Linked DNA regions of Callithrix jacchus. The protein of the gene in region 1 binds, or shares a complex with, the protein of each later gene. Links are inferred from orthologs where the notes say so. Each region holds a gene or a part of one and is shown on either strand. Other genes may lie near its edges.

Region 1 (3,746 bases):
GAGAAAGCAGTCTTGTGAAAGAGGTGAAACAAAGGCTTTTCATGTACTCCGGAATTGCTTGGATACTGGGATGTAACCGTGGCAAAGTTATTAAAGTTGATTTCTCTAAACCATTTACTCGAAAGGGCCACCTAAGGATAACTGGCTGTCTGCCCTTAAACTACATTTATTTTTAAAAACATAGTTTGAAAAATGATAGTCATCAAAGACTTACAAGACTAACCTTTTTTTTTTTTTTTAATGTAAAAGGCTGGTTCATAATATGCAAAGAAAGACTGCACATTTGCTTGCTACATTTAAGTTGCACAGTGTAATATATAGCCTTTCTCCCTCCTCTGGGTTACTTTAAAAATATTAAGAAGTTGGATAGTTATTCCATATTTTCAAAGTGGTTATAAATGAACTTCTAACTTAAATAATTCTAGCACTTTTTAATGACACTTCAATCTCAGTTTACTGCTTAAAGCTTCTTTAGATAAACATTTAAAAAAATTCTTAAAAAGTAGGTAATTAAATTTAATAAATATGAAAATAATGACAAAATGTTCAATGAGGAAAAGTGTTTATCCCGATATTGTGGCCAGAATGATAAGAAACTTCTAGAGGATGAAGTCTGCCTGGGAGGGTTTGCTTGTAAAAGTGATAGTTGATAGCATAACATCTGATTTTGTGTGTGTGTGCCAAGGGTGTTCCTTTCCGTCTTTTTCCTTTTTATAGGCTGCCACAATAGTGACACGTTTAATATTGATGAGTTTGACCTCCTGGGAGTTATCGTATATGCACCCTTTTTGAATACAAATGCTGTTTAATTTATATGGTAAACACATGGAATTTGGAGATTAGCATTTTAATCAACTCTAATCTCAGCATCTAATCTCAGTATTTTCTGCTTCCCCTACGGCTCCTTCTGTAAAAAAAAAAAAAAAAAAAAATCACGAACCAACTTTAGAAATGACAGCGAATGTCCTCTCCTGGAGAAGCAGGGTCTGTGTGTCAAACATAAAAGCAGCACCATGTGTAGTAACCTTTCTTAAACCATGTGTTCAAGCACATTAACAGTGTTCAATGAGATGATCAATTATTCAAGAAACAGAAGAATCCATTCATTCAGCAAATATTTATTGAACAGTCATGCAGAGGCAGGCAGGGGGTTGTGTATGTGGCCGTGACACGATGGCACCTCTGAACTGGAATTGGGCTTCAGTTCTTCCCCATGTAAAAATTTCTTCTTTTTTGTTTAACTTTTCTCGTGGCAGGTCCAGCAGCTCTGAAGATCGGAGTGCATCTTCCAGCAGACAAGCTCTTCGGCCGCGGACAATGCATTCGATTCGCACGGTGGAGATTAAAGTCCCCGAGATAGAGGAAACGTTTTTCGCGCCCAGGTTCCGCGAGGAGCCGCGCGGGGGCCGAGGGGGCGGCGGCGGCGGGCGGGGAAGCAGGCCCGAGCTGCGTCCTGCGCAGCCATTGGCGGGCGCCGCGCTCTGCACTGAGCATGTTCGCGCCCCGCCGGCCCCGAGCCGCAGCCGCAGCCGCAGCCGCAGCGACGGCAGCCACGGGAGCAGCCGCGCGTTATGCAAAGCGGCGGCAGATGCGAGCGGGGCCAGCCGGGCGCGCGTCGGCCTCCCCTCCCAGCGGCTCGCCCCGCAGCCGCCTGACTCTCCCGGGAGACTCCCCCGGCCCGGGCCCGGGGCCGAGGAGGGCCGCGATGGCCTGACTGCCCGCGGCGCGGCGGCGCAGCAGCGGGATTGCACCATGGGGAACCAGGATGGGAAGCTGAAGAGGAGCGCAGGTGATGCCTCGCACGAAAGCGGCGGCGGCGGCACCGAGGATGCGCTGGGGCCCAGGGACGTGGAAGCCACAAAGAAGGGGAGCGGGGGCAGGAAGGCGCTGGGCAAGCACGGCAAGGGGGGAGGGGGCGGCGGCGGGGAGTCGGGCAAGAAGAAGAGCAAGTCGGACTCCAGAGCCTCGGTGTTTTCCAACCTGCGGATCCGGAAGAATCTGTCCAAGGGGAAAGGCGCCGGCGGCTCCCGCGAAGATGTGCTGGATTCCCAGGCCCTGCAGACCGGGGAGCTGGACAGCGCTCACTCCCTGCTCACCAAGACTCCGGACCTCAGCCTCTCGGCGGACGAGACCGGCCTGTCGGACACCGAGTGCGCGGACCCTTTTGAGGTGACCCGGCCGGGGGTGCCTGGGCCTGCCGAGGCGAGGGTCGGGGGCCGGCCTATCGCCGAGGATGTGGAAACTGCAGCGGGGGCGCAGGATGGACAAAGGACCAGCTCGGGCTCGGACACGGACATCTACAGCTTCCACTCGGCTACGGAGCAGGAGGACTTGCTTTCCGACATCCAGCAGGCGATCCGCCTGCAGCAGCAGCAGCAGCTCCAGCTCCAGCTCCAGCCGCAGCAGCTCCAGGGCGCCGAGGAGCCTGCAGCGCCCCCCAGCGCCGTCTCCCCTCAGCCCGGGGCCTTCCTGGGCCTGGACCGATTCCTGCTGGGGCCGAGCGGCGGGACTAGGGAGGCCCCGGGCAGTCCAGACACTGAGCAGGCGCTGTCCGCGCTCTCCGACCTGCCCGCGAGCCTGGCCGCCGAGCCCTCGGCGCCCCAGCAGCCGCCGTCCCCCGGCAGCCTCCCGGTCTCCGAGGCACCCAGCCTCCCGGCGGCCCAACCCGCGCCCAGAGACTCGCCCTCCTCCACGGCCTTCCCGTTTCCCGAGGGCGGGCCGGGGGAGGAAGCGGCCGGAGCCCCGGCGCGGGGGGCTGGGGACACGGATGAGGAGGGCGAGGAGGATGCTTTTGAGGATGCGCCCCGGGGCTCTCCGGGGGAGGAGTGGGCCCCGGAGGGGGGAGAGAACGCCCCTCAGAGGCTGGGGGAAGAACCCGAGGAGGGGGCACAAGGACCTGGCGTCCCCGTGGCCGCTTCCCTGCCCGGCAGCCCCGCGCCCAGCCAGCGCTGCTTCAAGCCCTACCCGCTCATCACCCCCTGCTACATCAAGACCACCACCCGGCAGCTCAGCTCGCCCAATCACTCCCCGTCTCAGTCCCCTAATCAGAGCCCCAGGATCAAGAGGCGGCCGGAGGCCTCCCTGAGCCAAGGGTCCAGAACTGCCCTGGCCTCCGCGGCCGCCCCGGCCAAGAAGCACCGGGCAGACGGCGGCCTCGCGGGCGGCCTGAGCCGCTCCGCGGACTGGACGGAGGAACTGGGCGCCAGTACGCCCGGGGCGGGAGGCTCCGCGCACCTGCTAGAGCGCGGGGTGGCCGCTGACCGCGGCGGTGGGGTGTCCCCGGCACTGACCGCCAAGGCGTCTGGGGCGCCCGCGGCTGCTGATGGCTTCCAGAACGTGTTCACAGGTGAGCGGGCCCTGCGGCCGGCCTCCGGGTCACGAGTCGCCTGCCAATCAGGGCCTTCCCCTGCCTCCCGCCGTCCCTGGGTGCTGGAAGGCGGTGACCTGCTAGTGGCACGTCTCTTCCCCGTGGGGAATCCTTTTCCGCCCAGTGAGCTCACCCTCCTCGGTGAAATGCCTTGGACATACTTGTCGGTTTTCTATGTTCTCACAAGATCTTAGAGGGAACAACTTAGTTGCGTCTATGCTAAGTCATCTCAAGAAAAGGTTGCTCTGCCCATTTCACCAAAATGTCTACTGTTCACAATGTTTAGTGTCACGCCAGGGAGATACGGTCCTTTTTCATCTGGTTAGCGAAACCATCATTCTTCTCTTTTTGTTTCTCATCACCACAGCATTAAAAAGAA
Region 2 (3,746 bases), on another chromosome or scaffold:
TCTCCAGAAATCACCACTACCAATGTGGCTTCTAAAAGCAGGTTGGACGCAACCATTTTTTCTCTGGAAATAGCTAAATCCCAAGGCATGACATTGCTGTTTTTTCTTGTTTTTTGAGACGGGGTCTTGCTCTGTTGCCCATGCTGGAGTGCAGTAGCATGATCTCAGCTCACTGCAGCCTCTGCCTCCCAAGGTCAAGCAATTCTCCCACCTCAGCTTCCCGAGTAGCTGGGAATACAGGGGCACACCACCATGCCCAGCTAATTTTTGTATTTTTAGTAGAGACGGGGATTTCACCACGTTGGCCAAGCTGTTCTCAAACTCCTGACCTTAGGTTAGCCAGCCACCTTAGCTCCCCAAAGTGCTGGGACATGAGCCACTGCGCCTGGCCAACAATGCTGTATTTTATAAATGTATGTTTTTAAGGCCCGGCGCAGTGGCTCACGCCTATAATCCCAGCACTTTGGGAGGCCGAGGCGGGTGGATCACGAGGTCAAGAGATAGAGACCATCCTGGTCAACATGGTGAAACTCCATCTCTACTAAAAATACAAAAATTAGCTGTGCATGGTGGCGTGCGCCTTTAGTCCCAGCTACTCGGGAGGCTGAGGCAGGAGAATTGCTTGAACCCAGGAGGCGGAGGTTGCAGTGAGCCATAATCGCGCCATTGCACTCCAGCCTGGGTAACAAGAGCAAACCTCCATCTCAAAAAAAAAAAAAAGTATGTTTTTATACCAATTAATACACTATAAATTATAATTGCAAGTATTTCCCACTTAGATTAAGTCCAAGTTTAAAAGCAATAAGCCCAACAAAAAAACTATTTGAAATAGTTTCAAAAGAATCACGAAAGATGTCTTTAAATAAACAAATTGTTTACCTGACACTAAAAAAGATAAAAACATTCCGGCGGAACTGAAAGAGTAACTATAATCTTGAATATTGTTCAAATCAAGTTAGACGAGGGTTTTCATTAAATGTCATTTTACTAATTCGATACTACATCTTTCATCTCAAGCATTTTGACACTTCCATCAACTTTCTAAAAGTGAGGGTGGATTGTTTTTCTGTTTTTAATAGACTTGCCTCTCAAAAGAATGAATTAGATAAAAATTGATGGGAGAAACCTTTTCTCAACCTCCGCCTCCTCTTCATCAATAGCATCTGAGTAAACCTCCGCTATAAATTACTGTTTAGTTCATAATCCTGAAAAATTTACACTGGACAATGACGTAACTAAAGCCCATTTTCTCTATATATCCAGACATCCTGTCAACTTTTTACTTCATAAGCCTGTTTTTCATCACAACGAATTTTCACATACAGGAATGTAATCGGTATTTTCTAATGTCCAGGAGCCAAAAATAATTATTTAGTCTATTTTTCCATTTCTCCCCAAATACAAAATTCTCCTCAAGGTTCAAAATCATCTTTACATTTCTGAACGGAGAAAAGGTTGTCTAATGTGAAATACTGCTAACTTCCCGGGAGGACTGCGGTGTTCCCGACAGCGGCTATGAGGATCCTCGTGGAGCCCCTGCGTGAAGCCTGTGGTGCCCTCCCCACCCCGCGAACCCGGCCGTGCGTCAGCAGCCACGGCGTGAGGCGCACAGGCAGCTGGCTCCAAGCAGGGCCCAGCCCACCGCTCCCAAACGCGCCGCGGGGCAGCTGTTGTGCGGGCTGCACAATGACTAGGGGCCCCCCCGACCCGCAGGCCCAGGCCCAGGCCCACCAGGCCAGCCCCGACGCCCTCCGCACAGCCTATTTGAGCCGCCGCCCGCCTCGAAGCTTTGATCTAGGAAGAGCCCCAGCCTGGCTACTGCCTGACGCCGCCCTCCCCCAGGGGCCCGGCCGGAGCCTGCCGGGGGTCTCCCATGGCAAACTGGGGGTGGCAGGGGCGGAAGGGACAGGGACTGTGAGGGTAAAGCGGCCTGACCGGGGGTGTTCCTAGAGACTGCGAGGGAAAGGGGCCCGGCGGCCTCACCCGCAACAGGGGGCGGCTCTCCCGCGTCGTCGGCCGCGGGCGCCAGGGTGACGGCGCCGTCTCTCCAGACGCGGATCTGCGCAGCCGAGCGCACGCGACGGCCGGGCTGGCGGCGGCGGGCGGCGGCGCGCAGGGAGCCGCAGCACTGGTAGCACACGGCCCACGCCTGCTCCTCGTTGATGGGCTGGTTATAGAGTCGCAGGATCTCCTCCAGGCTCAGTGCGTCCTGCGAGCCCCCGGCATCGCCGCCGGCTGCCCCGGGCTCCCACGGCCCCTCGCCGCCCACCGCCTCAGCCCGCGGCTCTCCGCCGCTAGCCCGGCCGGCGGCCTGAGCCATCGCGCGGCTGGGCGCTGCGCTCGGCAGTAGCGCCGTGTGCCGGCGTCTTCTCAGCTCCGGAGCATCGTCTCCGCGCGCCACCGCCTCCTCATCCCCCGAACCGCCGCCACCCAACGCGGCCGCGCGCGCGCCGCCGCTGGGACAAGGCGAGGGCCCGGGAGGCGTGGGCGAGCACCGGGCGGCGAGGACACGGCTACAGACCCGGGCAGACCGCAGCCGGCTGGTAGCGACGCGATGGCGTCCGGCGTCCCGCCCCGCCCCGCCTCGCGCCGCCCAGCGCCCGCCCCTCAGGGGGCCGCACGGGCCGGGGGTTGCGCGCTCTGCAGGAGACGCACTGGCGAGAGGGCCTCGAGGCGGGAAGGCTGCAAGATCTGGAGCAGACCGCAACCCGTAGGGCTCGCAGAGTCGCAGGTGGTGATGCGCGGTCGGTGAGGGCGGTCGCAAGGGACGCACAGCTGGGGGCGCGGGGGTGAGGGCGGCGACGCTCTGTCCATAGGGGCCGCGCGGCCAGGAAGGGCGTGCAGGGTGGTAGGGCGTGGTGGACACGCGGGGCCAGGGGCGGGAGGGCGATTGGGAGCGCGGTCGGGGGCGAAGGGGCAGTAGGGGGGTCGCATTTATCAGGGATGCCTCCGGCAGACTCTGGCGGGATCTTGAGCGCGCCAATCCGGGTCATTGCCCTGCACAGCGGGAGAAGTCACCGCATTGAAGTTCCCTAGGCGCTGGATGAACGAAGATCTGGTTGAGAGCTTGAACACCCCTGGAGCAGATGACTAAGAAAACGCTGGCCCAGTGAAGCTTCCCTGCTGAGCCCTAAGCCCTGAAAGCCTCCCGCAGTTTACCCTGACCCCGTGCCTGCTCTGTGCGTTTTCCGATTTCTTGTTGGTTGAATACCTCCCTCTCCACTCCCAACTTCAGGGTAAGCCCCGTGAAGACTGGGATCTTTACGAGTTTTGTTCACTGACTTCTCCCAAAAGCTAAATCAAGGCCTGGAATATAAGCATCTAGTACATAATTTGCAGGTGCTCCGGTACCACACTTATCACAACATGTGGAATGAATATCACAGTGGTAAAATTGAACTGAGGGCAATTAGCCAATCCCAGCACTTTGGGAGGCTGAGGCGGGCGGATCAGGAGATCAAGACCATCCTGGCTAACCCGGTCTCTACTAAAAATACAAAAAAATTAGCCAGGCATAGTGGCAGGCGCCTGTAATTCTAGCTACTTGAGAGGCTGAGGCAGGAGAATCGCTTGAACCCAGGTAGAGGTTGTGGTGAGCCGAGATTGTGCACTCCAGCCTGGGTGACAGAGCGAGACTCCGTCTCAAAAAATAATAATAAAGTAAAAATAAATAATTCAGCCCCTCAGCCCATTAAGTATGCAATAAAACAGTTCTTAACCACTCATTGGTTAATGAATTTAATCGA

The links. Proteins that work in one complex are often made in the same cells at the same time.
Region 2: the proteins of FMN2 (region 1) and SPIRE1 are in contact, whole or in part, in a crystal structure (PDB 2YLE), measured with the Homo sapiens proteins. The link is inferred for Callithrix jacchus from reciprocal best matches to the Homo sapiens genes FMN2 and SPIRE1. Residues at the interface, in NP_064450.3 of Homo sapiens: Ser1702, Leu1703, Lys1705, Ile1706, Lys1707, Pro1708, Arg1709, His1710, Gly1713, Ile1714, Lys1715, Lys1717, Ile1718, Lys1721, Thr1722; in NP_001122098.1 of Homo sapiens: Gln51, Pro52, Ile53, Asn54, Glu127, Ile131, Tyr134, Lys135, Asp138, Leu141, Lys142, Glu143, Asn144, Glu145, Glu146, Arg147, Glu148, Glu154, Ile157, Asp158, Ala161, Asn162, Thr163, Val164, Glu165.

What each region holds. Positions count from the first base shown.
Region 1 is NC_133520.1:45,760,021-45,763,766, reverse strand, and holds the start of FMN2 (formin-2), read left to right. Parts: upstream 1-1,519; 5' UTR 1,520-1,752; coding exon 1,753-3,346; intron 3,347-3,746. UniProt on the Homo sapiens protein: Actin-binding protein that is involved in actin cytoskeleton assembly and reorganization. Acts as an actin nucleation factor and promotes assembly of actin filaments together with SPIRE1 and SPIRE2.
Region 2 is NC_133514.1:49,846,943-49,850,688, reverse strand, and holds the start of SPIRE1 (protein spire homolog 1), read right to left. Parts: upstream 2,567-3,746; 5' UTR 2,321-2,566; coding exon 1,984-2,320; intron 1-1,983.